Tamandua tetradactyla: one gene and its partner. The protein of the gene in region 2 binds, or shares a complex with, the protein of the main gene of each other region. Links are inferred from orthologs where the notes say so. Each region holds a gene or a part of one and is shown on either strand. Other genes may lie near its edges. The genes, in order: H1-4 and KDM4A.

What was found.
Region 1: the proteins of KDM4A (region 2) and H1-4 are in contact, whole or in part, in a crystal structure (PDB 6H8P), measured with the Homo sapiens proteins. The link is inferred for Tamandua tetradactyla from reciprocal best matches to the Homo sapiens genes KDM4A and H1-4. Residues at the interface, in NP_055478.2 of Homo sapiens: Ile71, Asn86, Ala134, Asp135, Asn137, Thr167, Ile168, Glu169, Gly170, Val171, Tyr175, Tyr177, Glu190, Asp191, Ser196, His240, Lys241, Ser288, Thr289, Asn290, Asp311, Met312, Val313; in NP_005312.1 of Homo sapiens: Ala24, Arg25, Lys26, Ser27, Ala28, Gly29.

Annotation. Positions count from the first base shown.
Region 1 is NC_135351.1:29,456,192-29,464,517, reverse strand, and holds H1-4 (histone H1.4), read right to left. Parts: upstream 2,975-8,326; 5' UTR 2,925-2,974; coding exon 2,262-2,924; 3' UTR 2,149-2,261; downstream 1-2,148. Other genes in the region: histone H2B type 1-M-like, read right to left, coding at 1,045-1,491. UniProt on the Homo sapiens protein: Histone H1 protein binds to linker DNA between nucleosomes forming the macromolecular structure known as the chromatin fiber. Histones H1 are necessary for the condensation of nucleosome chains into higher-order structured fibers.
Region 2 is NC_135328.1:180,349,228-180,359,008, forward strand, and holds the start of KDM4A (lysine-specific demethylase 4A), read right to left. Parts: upstream 3,876-9,781; 5' UTR 3,717-3,875; exon of another isoform or gene 3,472-3,716; intron 3,382-3,471; exon of another isoform or gene 3,252-3,381; intron 2,806-3,251; exon of another isoform or gene 2,741-2,805; intron 1,332-2,740; 5' UTR 1,292-1,331; coding exon 1,154-1,291; intron 1-1,153. UniProt on the Homo sapiens protein: Histone demethylase that specifically demethylates 'Lys-9' and 'Lys-36' residues of histone H3, thereby playing a central role in histone code. Does not demethylate histone H3 'Lys-4', H3 'Lys-27' nor H4 'Lys-20'.

The DNA of each region.
Region 1 (8,326 bases), on a different chromosome or scaffold from region 2:
TGCAATGCGGTTGTCTAACTCTGAGGACTGATTCCTTTTCTCTTGGTGGCTCCCTCCTACCTCCCTCCAATCTCTCTTAAGAGTTATTTTCCCCACAATAATTTCTTGGAAAGAAAATCCTGAATGACATCCTGTCTTACCCAGCAGAAGGAACTTTGCTTTTCTTTCTACCTCCTCATGTCCTTGACACTCAGGAACATTTGGAAAAGGGTTCTGAAAGGGGTGGGGGCGGAGGTGGGGGGACTCATTCCTTACCTAACTGTTGCCTACCCATATTCAGTCACGGGAATTGATTAGGCTTCTCTCCAGTTACCAGGACGACTTTTAAGCAGAATGCTTAAGAAGATTGACTTCTCTGAGTCTGTAAAGAGATCAGACTTCTGCAAAAGAAATTTTAACTTGACAGCACTTGAAGTTATTGCAGACTGCTCACCTATATCCCCTTCCCCTCTGTGCCTTGTAGACACAGCATCTTCTCTTTTCCCCACCTTCCCCTGGCCCCATCAGAGGTTTAGGCAGAAATTGGCCTAATTGCAAAACGAACTGGTAAAACCTTTGTAATATGTCTGTGAAAATGCACACCATCCTCAGCCAATTATAGCAATACACGTAAACAGTAAAGCTCAAAGCAGAATAAAGCTGTCACTGCCCAGGGTGACACAGTCATCATCGAGTTCTTCAAATTGTTGTAGGATTAGTTATGATCAATTTAGAGATCTACACATGAAAACAAAAGCTCTACACTTCAAATGGCAAGGTCAGTTCTTGTTAATATCTAGTTATGGGATACTAAATGAGTCCTATAGAACTGTATTATTTAAACATACTGAAAGCTCAATTTATGCTATTGTTATCACTGACGGATCCTTACAAGTGCCCCACACAGCTAATGAGACATTAAAGAACGGTAGCGTGCCTTTAAGTTTGGCAAGATAAATTCAACAATAACTTTTGGGATTAAAAGATGACAACTCATTTGTTGAAAGCATGCGTGGCTCTTAAAAGAGCCTTTGGGTTAGGCGTAAAGACGCTTACTTGGCAGGTTTACTTGGAGCTGGTGTACTTGGTGACGGCCTTGGTGCCCTCGGACACGGCGTGCTTGGCTAACTCCCCGGGCAGCAGCAGGCGCACGGCCGTCTGGATCTCCCTGGAGGTGATGGTCGAGCGCTTGTTGTAATGCGCCAGGCGCGACGCCTCGCCCGCGATGCGCTCGAAGATGTCGTTGACGAACGAGTTCATGATGCCCATGGCCTTGGACGAGATGCCGGTGTCGGGGTGGACCTGCTTCAGCACCTTGTACACGTACACCGAGTAGCTCTCCTTGCGGCTGCGCTTGCGCTTCTTGCCGTCCTTCTTCTGCGCCTTGGTCACCGCCTTCTTGGAGCCCTTCTTCGGGGCTGGGGCCGACTTGGTGGGCTCAGGCATAGTAACGTTACAGACAGACTCTAAATCAAACACTTGCGGAAATACCCCGTGGCAGTGAGGTCGCATTTATTTATAGACGCGGTATTCAAATTAAGTTAATAGGATTTCACTTACGATTGGATTAATTTCAGAATGTCGTCACAAATGCGAACGTAAATGATTTTTTGCAGGTCTACTTTCTCATTGGCTATTTCGTTACTCTGCTTTGACCCAATCAGAAAGCCAACACCAGGACTACCAGAGCGTACTATAAAATGAACCTTTTCGGACACCGAGCGCTAGATGCTTCAGAAAGCAGACAGGCCAACTATGCTAATACATTAGCTTCTCCTTTGTGTGGAATCCCCAGCTCCCTGCTTTTGAAAGCACCTCTGCTGACTGCGTCTGGCCTAGGGCTAGTGGGTGGGTCCCCAGTAGTCGTACCGATCGCCTGGAGAGGTGTGCGGCTGCCGCTGAAGATAGCGCGGGTTGTTACGGCCACGCTCTCCCACTGCCCAGCAAGGTCCGCGAAAGTCCGGGAAACCTGTCGTTTTCTCTCTACCATGTGCATTCACTGCTAGCAGGATCGCTAGCAGGACCAACCAACCCAAGCTGCCGAGAACACACGCCCACACCATTAACCCGTCAGCGCTTCCAACTTTTTGTACTGTACCCCCCAATAGGAAACTCCCGCCAACCTTCTTCCTGCCCAGGAGGCCCGCCCTCCCGCCTTCGTGGCTTCTTACCAGCCACGCCCCCCCTGAAAGTGCAGCAGCTCTCCTTCAGGTGTGGGGTGGCTCTGAAAAGAGCCTTTGGGTTGTATTGAAGGTTTTAAGTAGTTGGCCAAAGGGAACTTCCTATTTCTTCTTGGCTGCCGCCTTCTTTGGCTTGGCGGCCTTCGGCTTGGACGCCTTTGGCTTGGACGCCTTAGGTTTCACCGCTTTGGTCTTAGCTGGGCTTTTGGGCGCTTTCTTAGCCTTGGTTGCTTTTGCCTTTTTCGGGCTCTTCGCTGCCTTTTTGGCCCCAGTAGTTGCCGCCGGCTTCTTCGCCTTCTTTGGGGTCTTTTTGGCGCTCTTCTTCGGGGTGGCCGTCCCCGTCGCTTTCTTGGACTTCTTGGCTGCCCCGGCGGGCTTCTTGGGCTTGGCCGCACCACCCTTCTTAGCCTTAGGCTTGGCTTCTCCCGGGGCCGCCTTCTTGTTGAGCTTGAAGGAGCCGGAAGCACCAGTGCCCTTGGTCTGTACAAGAGTGCCCTTGCTCACCAAGCTTTTGAGACCAAGCTTGATGCGACTGTTGTTCTTCTCTACGTCGTAACCAGCAGCCGCCAAAGCCTTTTTGAGCGCAGCCAGAGACACGCCGCTGCGCTCCTTAGAGGCAGCCACGGCCTTAGTTATGAGCTCGGACACGGGGGGGCCCGACGCCTTGCGCTTTGCAGCACCCGCAGACTTGCGGGGCTTCTTCTTCACTGGCGTTTTCTCTGCAGGGGCAGGAGCGGCGGGCGCGGCGGGTGCAGTCTCGGACATGCTGCGGGCTGGCGTGGGGAGCGTAATTCGAGCCGGAAACAGAGGCGCTGGCCGGGACTCGGGCCCCGCCGCCGCGCCCGCCGGCTTATATAAGGGCGGAGCTGCGCGGTGATTGGTGCGCTGTCCAGCCCGCCTCGCTGGCAGCCGCAGAGTGTCCTCTTGGATCCCGAGTTGTGTTTGTTACACCTCAAAAAAGGCCAAAAATATCAAAATTCCTTACACCGAATTGCCCAGTTTTTCTCAGAAAATGATCCCTGAAGCCTCAGACTTCACGCAGTTCTCAAAATATAAGAGAAGCACAAATCCTTATGCCAAAAACCATCAATATTTCCCGCCATCCTCGGCAAATTTCAACTCAGAGCAACAAAACTTTCTATTTTCTTCGTAAATTATAACCTGATCTTTAAGTGTGGAGTTTTCTGACCTCTCAAATACGATTCTCCAAGTGGTTAGCTTCCTACATGTCAAAAAAACATGCCACTATCTTTAAGATTTTTATTATAAATCTGCGCTTAAGTGAGGGAAGTAACACAGGCTCCTCGGAGAGTCCTGCCTATTGAGCCGAGGGCATTTGAGTTCATCAAACTGGTTTAGTTTAATCCCAAACAAATTATTGTACATTTTGGGTTAACTCGGGAATACTCAGGACTTCAGTCTATACAGTCATGGTTTTATTTCTGTCCGCTTCACCTGGGTTTTAGTTTTATTTTAAACAATTCCTTAGGATAATTCTTTTCCTTTCGGCTCCCAAGGGTTGGGGGCGGGGCTGTTGCTTCTCTTCCTCTGGACAACTGCTCCCTGGGTTGAGCTACCTTAAATTCAAGATATTTGGGAAAGCAGGGGGTTCCAAAACACTGTCAGAGTACAGAGATGCAGAAGGGTGCATTTTCAATAAACACAGACAATGTTCAGAAAGTGACTGGAAGTGGGGATGCACTTTACTTTGAAGAATTTATCCGCAGCCTTGCTGAGTTCTTTGGGCATATGTTTCAGGACCGAACTGTAATATACTCGTTAGACCTGGAAAAATAAATGAGAAGCATAAATTATAGCCCATCTATTCACATTATTAGTGAAACTCAGGCCCTATTATTACTGAATAGCTGATGAATGACTAGCCAACTCAGAATCTGATTTCAGGTCCTCTGAAGATTATGGTCAAATGCTTCCCAGATCTCCATTTAAAAAAGAAAAGAAGTGGCATGTAAGGATTCAATAACAAGTTTAAATTTCCATTTCAGAAGCAGAACTTTGAGAGGCTATTGAAACTATGTGACCACTCTCTGAAGACATCCTTTACAAAGCCCCTGAAAGAATGGGTTTGTTTATAGGTAGCTGCCCAAACAATGGAAGAACATATGTTGACAATTAAAGTCCAGCTAAAGGAATTATTCCTGGAAAATGGTCTGTAACTGTCTTAAAAGCTGTAAGCCAAGTAGTTAGAGGGACAACATACAATTTTGCATTAGGTTATAAGGTGATGTACCTGGCTAGCTGCAGCATGGCATTGAGCATCATTTTAATTTTTGTTACCCCAGGTTTTCTCCATTCACACAAACCGCACTACAGAAATAGAGGAGAATAGAGGTCTTTGATGCATTAATGAAGTGTTTCAAAATAGTCTTTTAAAATTAATGCTTAATGTCTTATAAAAATGATGTAAATCATCAATATTTCTTCAGCCTTAATGTGTAAGCAGTTTCACATCACCTTCATGGTTACTAGGGCAACTGGATTATGTGGGCATTTGACTCTAGAACTCAGGGATTGTACTCATTTTTAATGACAAATTAAACTACTCCCACAAATGACTGAAATTTGTACAACACTTTGAAGTTTGCTTTCAAATAGCTCACTTTATTCCACGTATACCTCACTGCTTCTGACTCAGAGTTACTTAAACATAACAAATTCTGTGGGGCTCTTATTGTACAGAGTGCTTTCCTATATACTCTTTAATTAAATAGACCTATACATAAAACTTCTTCACCGAATTAGAGAAGACATTGAAGTTCTGCCAACATTAAATCAAATATTTATTTGACACATTTCTATGATATTATAGGATCAATATCAAAAGGCTGTACTTCTGCTTTGCCAGCCTGGCAGGTTATATCAGAACTATCCTGTGTGTGTGTGTGTGTGTGTGTGTGTGTGTGTGTGTGTGTGTGTATGTGCATATGTTTGAAATATAGATTCAAGAGCTTGATCCAAAAGATTCTGATCCAATAAGTCTCCAGACGGTCTTCAGAATTTGAATACTTAACAAGTTTGGCCAGTAACTCTGATGTCCAGCTAAGTCTGCAAACCAATCTCACCAGAGGTCATCAACAAGGCAAAAGTGTTTTCTGTCATGTTCCTGGGGATTGCTGGGCTTGTCTGTGAAACCTTAATGAAGATGTCCATGCTGGATGTGATCACAAGTTGGAAGGATCGGAGCAGCAGCAATTCAGTCTTGACTTACTTGGATTCACACTTGACTGGGCACAAGAGTAGGCTGGAGAAGGAGAAAGAAGAGTAACAAATCAAGCATTTTCTGCTTTATTCTCTATCCACAGAGAGTGGCTTGGCCCTTGGCTGTCTTTTGGTTACCAAAATAGCCAAGTACAGTGTCTCTGCTCCTTACCCCATTTTACACTGTATAATTATCCCTACTACTGACTACAGCACTGTGTGCTGCTGTCTTCTTATTTAGTCAATACAGCAATTCTGTGCTGTGGATACTATCCACATGGAGAAATTGTATATTTATATAGATAAGAAACATAGATGTATGTGCTTATGCATGGATTAGTACACACACGTATATGTCCTTGCTCTGACAGCTTAGAGTGACTATAAGGAGTGACACTCTACTAAAAACGAACACGCCTAGCAACCAATCCTTGGCTTCTAAGTACCAGTCCTGAATGAAAACAAACCAGGGCTCCTTGGAGAAGTGACTGGCTCCCGTGTTGGGGCAGAGAAAATATAGAATGAGTCTGGAATCTCTTGTGGTGCCAGAAAACAAGGAGATGTTCAAGAAAATTTGGGAAATTGTTGGAAAAAACAAAGAATCTAAAGAAGCATTTAATGGCCAAAGCTGGTACAAAATGAAAAATGATAATACTGGAATTTTTTAAGTAATAATTTTTAATTTTACAGCAGTTTTAAGTTTACAGAAAGATTGTGCAGAAAGTACGGGGAGTTCTCATAAACCCACTCCACTGTTTCCCTTCTTTTAGTTTGTAAAGTTACCAGAATGCAATATACTAGAAACGTAATGGCTTTTAAAAGGGGAATTTATTAAGTTGTAAATTTACAGTTCTAAGGCTGTGAAAATGAACAATTTAGGGCACCAACAAGAGAGTACCTTCACTCAAGAAAGGCTGATGTGGAACATCTCTGTCAGCTGGGAAGGCAAGTGGTTGGCGTCTGCTGGGGTCTTTGGCTTCTGGACACCTTTATCAGCCAGGAAGGCACATGACCATATCTGCTAGCTTTCTCTCCCAGCTTCTTCAGTGGTTTCCCTGGGGGAGTTTTCTTTCATCTCTACAGGTGTCTGGCTGTATAGGTTCTGTTGGCACTAAAGCTTTTTCCAAGATGGTTCCTTCTTAAAGGGCTCCAGTAAGCAACCTCACGTTGAATGGCTGGAGATGCATCTCCATGGAAACCAACTAATCAAAAGTTACCACCCGCAATTGGGTAGGTCACATCTCCATGGAAACAGTAAAAAAGATCCCACCCAGCAATATTGAATGAGGATTAAAGAACATGGCTTTTCTGGGGTACACAACAGTGTCAAACTGACACACCCTATTATTCACATCTTGCTTTGTGTACTGTATTAGTTAGAACTGATGAACCAGTATTACTATAATTATATTTTTAACCAAAGTTGGTAGTTTGCATTAGGGTTCATTCTTATGTTGTACAGTTCTGTGGATCTTGACAACTACATAGTGCCATATGGCCACCATTGCAGTATCTTACAGAATAGTTTCAGTGCCCTAAAAATGCCCTGTGGTCTACCTATCCACAGTTGCTTCCTCCTTTCCTAGACCTTGGCAAATACTGATCTTTTCATTGTCTCTATAGCTTTGCCTTTTCTAGAATGTCATGGTTGGAATCTACAGTATGTAAGGCTTCTTTCACTTAGCAATATGCATTTGTTTCCTCCCTTTTTGTGGCTTGATAGCTCATTTCTTCTTATTGGTGAATAATAATATTCCATTGTATGATGTACCACATTTTATCCACTCACTGATTGCAGGATATCTTGGTTGCTTTTAGCTTGGGCAATTATAAATAAAGCTGTATGAATGTGCAGATTTTTGCATGGGCATAAGTTTTCAAATTATTTGGGTAAATATTTAGGAGCGTGATGATTGAATCACCTTTTAAGTCTTTGTTCAGCTTTGTATGAAATTGTCAAACTGTCTTCCCAAGTGCCAGTGCCATGTTGCATTCCCATCAGCAATGAATGAGAGTTTCTTTTACTACAAATCCTCACCAGCATTCAGCATTGTCAGTGTATTGGCTTTTAGCCATTTACAACTAGCATCTCCTTGTTTTAATTTGCAATTCTCTAATGACAAGTAACACTGAGCATCTTTTCATACGCTTATTTCCTGTTGGCTAGGTTTCTGTTCCACTTTCCCCCTATATTTTACTTGGGTTGTTTGTTTTCTTAGTTTAAAGAGTTCTTTGTATATTTTGGATACAAGTCCTTTGTCAATTACTTGAGGCTTTTTTCTTCTTTTTTAGAATTTATTTTTTTAGAATAGTTGTAGATTTACGGAAAAATCTTTCAGAAAGTAGAGTTCCCATATATGTCTCTACCCCAAACTATTGTTAACATTTCATTAGTGTGGAAGCTTTCTTACAGTTAATGAACCAATATTATTATGCTCTTAACTAAAGTCTATAGTTTCTGTTTGGGTCTATTCTTTATGTTGTGGAGTTCCATATTTTTTCAAAATATTTTGTTGTGGCAACACATAAACAACATAAAATTTCCCATTGTAACCATTTTCAAGTATATAATTCAGTGGTGTAGTCATATTCCAGATATGTGTTTTGCAAATATTTTCTCCCAGTCTGTGGCTTTTCTTTTCATTCTCATAACAGTGTCTTTCACAGAGTGGAAGTTTTAAATTTTAATAAAGTCCAACTTGCTAATTTTTTCTTTCTTAGATCATGCTTTTGCAGTTGTACTAAGAAGTCATTGCCAAACTCAAGGACACCTAGATTTTCTCCTATGTTATCTTCTACAAGTTTTATAGTTTTGCATTTTAAATATAGGTCTGCAATTCATTTTGAGTTAATGTTTGGAAAAGGTATAAGGTCTGTGTTCAGATTCCTTTTTTTTTTTCATGTATATACCCAGTTGTTACAGCATCATGATTGAAAAAACTATTCCT
Region 2 (9,781 bases):
CTAGAAGGAGGAACATATGGTATAAAGGGAAAGGAAGAAAGGATGGAGGGAGGGAGGGATGGACAGAAGAAAGAGAGAGTAAGGAAGAGCAAAGGCACACAGGAAAACATACGGCACAATGCTATTCTGTTTAGAAAATAAAACATACAGTCTTATATGTGTGCACATTTGTGTGGGCAAAGCAAAAGGTGTGGGATGAGATACACCAATCAATTAACACTGATTACCTTAAAAGACAGCACACTGGAGAAGGTGATGAAAATTAACCTTTTCTTTGTCTATCATTGAATTATTTAACTTGTAATAACCAGCATTAATTTTTTTTTAATTTTCTTAATCTAATGAAGGAGAACCAAAAAAAATAAAAAGACCTATGAAAAAAAGGTATATTGAGAGTCCTGCTGCTTCTATTTGCTACTAACCTTACAGAAGCTATATCCATATATAAGAGTAAAGAAAGAGATGTCTCAAGCCTCAGCAAAGGCATCAGAATCCAAGGACTGGTCCTCAGCTTTGTAATCAATGTCCTTGCTTTCTTTTCTCAAACTGATAAAGTAATACATGTACATAGTAGGAAATTCAAACAGTATAAAACAGTATAGGGAAAAGCTTTCTCCTGGCTCAGACTGAATCTCGTCTGTGAATTTCTTCATTTCATCTTTGGAGATTCAAGAACTTGACTCTCCAGAATACAGCAGGGGTTGATTCAACTCAGGAGAAATAACTAACTCACAAAGAAAGACGCACAAACCAGAAACCAATCTAAAATTACAAAGATAGAATATTCATGTTGGGCAGGCCTGTGCACTAGCCCATCTTGAAGAAAGTACACATGGAAAGTTAAATTACTATCAGAAAGCTGGATGAGACTGAAATAAGAGAAAGAAAAGTTGGATGGCATAAGACATTGGACAGATAAAAAACACCAAAGCATCCATCTCCACCATAAGGACCAAAACACCAGAACAGCTGTCCTGGAGACACTAGCTCTTTACCTCCCCCCCTTTTTTTTAAGATTCCCAACATCTCTCTCCCTTTCTAAAAGTAGCCATTCTTCAGGTGTTGAAATTCAGTTCTTCCAGCATCACTTAGGAAAAATCTTACTGTTGCCCTCTGTTAAAAAAAAGTCATGTTGAACAATCTCACCCCTTACCTTGGCCAATCCAGCCCGATGAGCTCCTTGAGATTCGATATAGGCAATGTACCGACTGAAGTTCCGGAACTCCTCCATGGTTGGATAAAAAGTCATTATCCGAGCACTGGGGTTCAAGGTTTCAGATTCGGATGCCATTTTTCCCTCCTTGTTGAGGTCACTTTGGTCAGATTAGAAACTAAATAAATATATTAAAAACACAAAATGATACAAAATATAATAAAAATTAAATGCTGGAATGTCAGTGTTGAAAATAGTGAAAGATTACAAAAATTCTGAAGAAATACTAAGATATCACAACACTTGGAATATGACTCTAGAAGTTAGAGGAACCTAATGTCAAAATCCAAATACAATAGTAAAATCACAAATTTGCAATAATGTAAAACCACTATATGGATACATGAAAGTAAGACAAATAAAATACAGGAGAAAAGGAAAAAAAGAACCTGCTGTATCAACATCGTTAGGTATTCAAGTGTCATTTAAATGGAGACACTGTTTCAGATACAAAAGGGGAAACTTTGGTTGTTGGACCACCCTACTACAGCTGATCTGTTCATATTTTATCCTTTTATCTTTTCAAGACACACCCTAATCACACTCTAGTAATGCCTTCTCAGAGAATTAAATATAATGTACTTCAACCAGATTAACAAAGCCACCTAAGGGTCACTTCTAAAGCGGCTTTCAAACAGGATTTTAGATTCCTTAAAAAGTTACACGGTTACAAGAAAGAAGAAAAAAAGTTACATGGCTACAAAGTTTAAGGGTTAAAAACTACTTTAATATCAGTAGCATGAACTATATAATATGTATACCATTTTTATATTCAAATGCACACTCCCCCTTCTCCTCCATCCTCTATAACCTGCTTTTTATCTAGGTAAATTTGGTATTTCTAGTCATCCCTTAAAAGCGATACCATGTAATATTTGCAAGCTATGATTTTTAAAACTGTAAAGTGAATATGTTCTCACATCTAAACCACATGCAGCTTCAGCATATTTAATAAAGCCAAGCCAGAGACTAGTTTAATTGCACTGTACCCAGAACTCAAAGGACAAAACGAGGTAATAAACTGGCGACACAGGGCAAACTTCATAACTGACTGTAGAAGGTAAAAGAAATACGTGATTATGTTTTTAGAAGAAGCCTAAAAACGTAAGGCTAAATGGGTTTGCTATCCATCACCTAGTAACAGAATAAACGTTTTCAAATGAGAAAGGACAAAGCTTAGCAGCTAAAAGGAGCCAGTTTATGGAAGAAAAACTGTATGCCCTTTCCTCTACTGAACCGCCTCACCAAAGGTACGGGAGTTCTTCTTGCCTAATCTGGGCCTCAAAGCCATGACAGCCCAGTTCCAAGAGACCCACTGAGAGCTGGACAGTACTCAGAGGGAAGGAAACTGTTCCCAACCTACCACCAAAAATAACAACCTTGTGTTCCTGGCCAGGTGACCAAACTTTGCATGGCAGGTATGCTGTTATGCCCGTTTTACATACCAGGAAATTTGCCCACATTGGTGAAAGCACTCCTAGTATTATTCTATTACTCTATGAGACCAACATCATTATCTCCACCTACATTAAGTCTTTTGCAAGGGCAGATCCAAGTGTGGAAAATAAAGCTTGTTCACTGTTGTGGATCCCCTTTAAACAAACAAACAAAAAATAATTCACAAATATCTCACTTTTGAAAATTTTACAAAAACATATGGTGCGGACACCCTATTAGGGCCCCTCCCCGGGCCTTGGAAGGGGCCCATTTTCATCCATCTCTGGCCCTATTCATCTTCGTATGCCTAGAATCTAGAACAATGCATGGCAGAGCCGACACTGATAACTGTTGAATACTGATTTCTCACCGTCACCTCTTGCTCATGCCCTTTCTTCAACCTTCGGATTCCCTTTCCCCAGTCTATTTCATGCGGTAAACTTCCATTCCCTGACACCTTCACTCCCCGTATTAGGCAACAAAGCCTAATGGTTCAAGAACACAGACTTCGGAGTCAAAACAACTCCGAATACATATCCGGTCCCTGCACTCACAGCTGTGTGACCTTGGCTGTGAGAGTTATCTGAGCCCGTTTCTTCACCTGCAAAAAGGGGATCCCAATCCCTTGCGTTGTACGGTTGCCGTGATTAAGTCAGATGATGCAAGCGAAACGCTAAGCACTAGGCCCGCTACTCAACCACTCAGCAAAGGAAACTGTTGCTAACAACAGCCTCGAGCTACCGCCCCCTCCCCTCGGGGTCGCGTCCGCGGCCCTCGCTCCACAGGTAGCAGCCCCCGCGCTCAAGGTCCCCGAGCCTCACCGGGTAGAAGTCCAGCCCCGCCCGGCCCCGCCGCCTAGGCGACTGCGGCCCGGCCGCAGGAAGAAGAAAATAAGGCCTTGTAAACCCGCCCCCTCCCTTCCCGACATCCATTGGCCATAGAAGATTGGAAAACGCCAATCTCAGGATTCATTTTAAAAGCTCCTTTTCCCATTGGCCGAGAACCATGCCTATCACTCACCCCTCCCCCACCGGGACTCACGGTCACAACTACGGCGGCAACATACCTAAACGATTCCGAAATTCTATGGTTATCACCTAAAGCCCACCGCCCCAGCAGGGCTTAGGCTAGACTTCTGCTCTCGCCACTAGCCGATCGTACTGATTTCTCAGCCGGCGAAGGACGAGGCTCCGCCTCCTCGAAAGTCCGCCTCTGCGCAGCCGCGTAGCGCACCACGGAGTCAACCAATCCGAGGATCGCTATAAGCCCTCAACCAGCCAATGCAGAAGCGCTGCAGGCGCCTCAGAGTCCGGGATAACAATCTGCTTAACCTATGAGCGCCGGCTCGGGCTGTTGCCAGGAGGAAACTCTGTACCACTTGGGACCGCGGCCACTGAGCATCTCGTCTGGATCTTGGAGCTGGCCAATCGTAGGCGGGCTTCTGGCCATCCGTAACTAATCAGGATTGAAAGAACCGGGTACCTAGAAATGGAACGGTCGGGCAGGTGGGTAAGGGTGATGAGGTTGTGGCAGGGTGTTAACGAAAGGGTGGGGTCGTTTTCTGAGGGTTGCCGTTAGGGGCAGCTTTCGAGGACGAGGAGTTCCTCATATGGTGACCAACTTCTCCCAGTTTACCTGGGACGGTCTTAGGTCGGAAACTTAACGTCGCGTGTCCTAGGAACCCCCTCAATCCTCAGGTCACCCAGGTTCCTGAGGACAGTTAAGAGCAGTGCCTGGGGGAGAGAGCCCTGAGGGTCGTTAGGACGGGTCCTGAGGGAAGGGTAAGTGTCCTGAGGGTCATTAGGCGTATTTCCTCAGTGACCGGGGATTGGGGGTCATTAGGAGCAGCTCTTGGGAAGGTCTAGGGAGTCATTAGAGGCACTTCGAGAGGGCAAGGGGGTTCCTAGAAGTCATTAGGGGCGGTTCCTGTGCGGTAGTGAGTCCCTTTAGGAGCTCACTGATTGTCCGGGGGAGGTGGGGAGGAGGCGGATAGGACCTCCTTATAGATCAAATAGGAAAATAGAATACTTACAACCAAAGTCATTTTTAAAATGTTGACAGAATTACCGAGGTTGATAGAATTACCGAGATGAGTAATGGTTTAGTGCACTGGAAAGAGCTATAGGATCAAACCTGTCTTCAAAACCAGGGCATTCTTCTGAACCTGGGTTTTCCCATCAATAAAATGAAAAAGATAATACCTGCCTTGCAGGATTGTTGTGAAGATGAGAATTAAGGCATGTTGGAAAAAAAAAAAAAGACTGTGTTACATAGAATAGTATGGAATTAGACCAATCATGTTTGGGCCTAGGCACGTTGCTTCTTGAAAAAGAAAAAAGAAAATATACACCCTATACCTATTTCAAAAAAGACGGTAAACCTGGATATGCAACCAGTAGTCTTTCACAACAGTTAAAAGGTTTCTCTCCCTTGACCTAGTAAAATAATACCCTCGATAATTATACCGGGTGGCTGGCAAAATTGCTGGAAGTATGGAGAATCCAACTTGGAGGATACCCAACAAGGAAAACCATGCAAATCATGCAGCTGAGATAATCCACCACCTTCCTTGCTGTTGCCACCAAGCTCAAGATGTGGTGTCTTCCCTCAGGACTCCACTGTCCTGGACATGGATACAGTTGCTAACATTCCTGTTACTACTGACTGCTCCATGAACTGGTTCTTATTACATCTCTCACTGCTGCCAGAGAGGATCTTCCATGGTCCCTGTTACTTTGTATCACTGGCTCACAGCTGGTGTATGAATTTGATGGGCAGAGCCCTAGATCATCTTCTCTTGACATCCTTCCATTTCTCTAACTAGTTTATCTCAGTCTCCTTTTTAAGCTCATCTGTTCCTTTGCATCCATTAAATGTTGGTCTTTCTAAGCAAAACTAATGTACGGTGATAAAAAAAAGTTGTGATTACTTTAGGGTGGAGCAGGGAATCACTGTGAGGAGCACAGTGCTTCTGGGGTACTGATCATGTGCTATTTCTTGACCTGGATAGTGGTTACAGTGTTGTATTCACATTGTAAAAATTCATTGAGCTGTACACTTAAAAATGTAAAAAATTCTATGTACGTGTTCTACCTTAACTTAAAAGAAACAGAAAAAAATGGACAAAAGACTTGAGTAGATATTTCTCAGAAAAAGATGTACAAATGTCCAATAGCACATGAAAATATGCTCAACATCATTAGCTATTAAGAAAATGCAAATGAAAATCACAATACGAATCAATTTCATACCCACTAGAATGACTTTTATTTTTAAAAAATGGAAAATTACATGTGTTGGAGAGGATGTGGAGAAATAGGAACACTCATTCATTGTTGGTAGGAATGTAAAATGGTACAGTTGCTGTGGAAGACAGTTTGGCAGTTCCTCAGAAAGTTAAGTATAGAATTGCCATATGATCCAGCAATCCCACTTCAAGGTATATGTCCAGAAGAACTGAAAGCAGGGACTCGGACAGATGTTGGAACACAGGTGTTTATAGTGGCTTTATTCACAATTATCAAAAGATGAAATCAACCCAAGTTTCCATTAACCAATGAATGGATAAACAAAATGTATATGTCACATTTAGTCTAGAGTGGTAATTGTTATTTTTAGATTTTGAGAGGTTGTGCTATCTATGTATAACCTGGTATTTACTTGCAACTTTGGGAACCTGTGTGACACCTAAGACTCAGAGTATATATATCAGGCTTCAGTTAGGGATAAGAATGGAGCCAATCAGGTCAGGACTAAGGTAAATCAGAATACAGGGGTAAGGTGGACATTGTATTTTCTTTTTTCTTTTTTGTATGCTGTATATGGGGGTCACATTTCATTCCTTTTCCATGCGAGTACTCCCTTATTGCACCATTTGTTGAATTTTTTGTTTGGTTGGGTTTTTGTTGGTTTTGCTTGCTTGTTTGTTTGGGAAGTGCATGGGTCAGGAATCAAACCCAGGTCTCCCACATGGCAGGTGAGAATTCTACCACTGAACTGCCCTTGCATCCCAAGGAGGACATTATATTTTAGTACCTACCAAGCCAATGGGAACAAAGAAGAAACGCTTTTTGTCCAAAAACCTACATTTTTGGTAGCACATAATCTAAATCAACCAGTCTGAATAGATCATTTAAACAACCCAAACACATGGAGCCTAAAATGGGAATGAGGGCTTATAATTCTGTATAGCTTAATTTAATGCCTGGATGCATCCTAAAGTATGTTGAACAGATAATTATAAAGTGTTGGGGGCTAGCCACGATGGCTCAGCAGGCAGAGTTCTTACCTTACACACCAGAGACCCAGGTTGGATTCCTGATGCCTGCCCATGCAAAAAAAATAAAAGGGCGGGGTGGGGGAGGGAGATAAAGTATTGGTAAAGTCCCTTGAGGGAAGGGAGTTTTAAAAAAGTGAAACTATTAAGCTTTACCAGGAGAGAAAACCCTGATAACCTTCTCAAACCAAATCAATAGGCCAAGCCCTTGATCTTGAGGCTTGCTCATGTGAAGCTTATTATGTGGTAAAGACACCAAGCCTACCAACAGTTATGCCAAGAGTTCCAAAGGACCTTTTCTTGTTGCTCAGATGTGGTCCCTTTCTAAGCCCAATTCTGCAAATAAAATTATTACCCAACCTCCTAAGTGGGACATGACATCCAGGGGTGAAAGTCTCCCTGATAATGTGGGATCTGAATCCCAGGGATGAGCCTGGCCCTGGCACTGTGAAATTGACTGTGCCTTCCTGACCAAATAGGGGGAAAGAACTGTAGCAAATAAGTTATCAGTGGCTGAGAGAATTCAAATAGAGTCGAGAGGCTATTCTGGAGGCTACTTTTACACAAGCTTCAGATAGATACTGCTATTTATCATGGTTTGCCAAATGGCAACCAAAACTATTCCTGCCAATCCTAAAGAACGCCTAGGGCTCTGAGATTCTACAAAAGTTCAATGCACTATGATTACTTACCAGAAACCTACAACCTTCAGATGGGCATCTGTTTTAGTCTGCCAAAGCTGCCAGAATGCAACACACCAGAGATGGATTGGCTTTTAATAAAAGGGGGGTTATTTAGTTAAAAACATACAGTTCTTCAGAGGAAAGGTAGCTAACTTTCATCTGAGGTTTTTTTTTTTTTTTTTTTTTTTAAATATGGGAAGGCACAGGGCGAACTCTGCTGGCCTTCTCTCCAGACCTCTGAGTTCCAACAGCTTTCCCTGGGGTGATTCCTTTCTGCATCTCCAAAGGCCTGGGCTGGGCTGAGCTGAGCTGCAAGTGCTGAGATGAGATATGCTGAGCTGCTTGGACTACTGCTTTGAGCTCTCTCATTTAAGCATCCAGCCAATTAAATCAAACATCATTCATTGTAGCAGGTATGCCCTCTAGCCAACTGCAGATATAATGAGCGACAGATGAGCTTCACATGCTATTGGCTCATGTCCATAGCAACAGAACTAGGCACCTTCACCTGGCCAAGCTGACACCTGAACCTAACTACCACATGCCCACCCCTTGTCAACTTGGCAACTATACACATCACCTTAAACAATATTAAAGTGGCAAAAATTCTCTTCTGGCTGTGGACCTATGAATCTCAAAACAAGTTATCTTCTGCCAATATGCAAAGGACGGACAGTCATGGGATACATGTTTTCGTTTCCATAGGGAGAAACTGGAAGAAGCACAGGAGTCACAAGACCCAAACAGTTCTGAAAACCTGCAGAGCAAACTCCATTGGATTTCAAAGTCTGAAAGTCATTTAACCTCAGGGCTTTAGAAAGTGGCAGTCCCACACTTTCCAAGCCCATGCAGTTACTTTACTCTCTCCAAACACTGGGGTGGTTGCAAGCTTGGGGGACATTGGGAAGACCACTTTTGGCTCAGCTCCACCCCCTCCAAGCTTCACGGCAGCACCCAGGATCTCTGCCATCTTCACGGCATAAACTCAACCCCTCCAGAACACTGGGGTAGTAGCCAGGCTCTCCCCAATCCCCTGTTTATGCACTCGACCCTCTCCAATGCCTGGAGTGGCACAACTCTTCCTGAGCAATGATGCAAAGGGTTTGCCCTCTGCTCCTGGGGCAAACTCACCTCCTCCATGTATACAGGTGGGTCCACTCTCCTGGCCTGAGGTTTCTTGGCTTCAGAGCCAAGCTTCCATGGTTCTCACTCTGCAAACTCCAATTTGTCCCTCTTGTGTTCCCCTTTGTCCAGATTGGCAGTGGTTCCATTTACACCAACAGTCTCTTCAAGCACTTCAGGCCTTCTCCATCATCCTCTTCACAGTTCCTCCAAAATTTTCTTCCCCTTATCCATCCCAAAAACTGTTCCAACATGTCTAGTATTTGCAAACTGCAGCAGCATCCCACTTCTCCGGTACCAAATCTGTTTTAGTCTGCCAAAGCTGCCAGAGTGCAACACAGCAGAGATGAACTGGCTTTTAATAAAAGGGAATTTATTTCATTAAAAGTGTTTAGTTCTTCAAAGGAAAGGCAGCTAACTTTCATCTGAGGTTCTTTTTTACACGGGAAGGCACAATGCAATCTCTACTGGCCTTCTCTTCAGGCCTCTGGGTTCCAACAGCTTTCCCCAGGGTAATTATTTTCTGCATCTCCAAAGGTCTGGACTGAGCTGCGAGTGCTGAGATGAGGTATGCTGAGCTGCTTGGGCTATACCGTGTTGAGCGCTCTCATTTAAGCATTAGCCAATTAAATCAAACATCCTTCATTGCAGCAGGCACACCCCCTAGCTGACTGCAGATGTAATCAATGACAGATGAGCTTCACCTGCCATTGGCTCATGTCCATGGCAACAGAACAAGGCACCTTCACCTGGCCAAGTTGACACCTGACCCTAACTACCACAGCATCTAAGCAGATAAGTCCTGAAACCCAGAGGGGCCAGCTTCTCTAGAACATCAACTAATCCATCCCCCATCCCATATTATCAACACCCCTTTCCAACATGAAAAGTTAGAATGAGCATAGCCCAAATACCCCTAAAAATTGGGAGAAAGACAAAAAAAAAAAGAGGGAGTTTCAACAGAGAAGATAGGATTTAACAAATGAGTATGACTGCTGAAACATTATATCGATATTTCTTTTAGTTTCCAATGACTTGGAGCAACTAGAA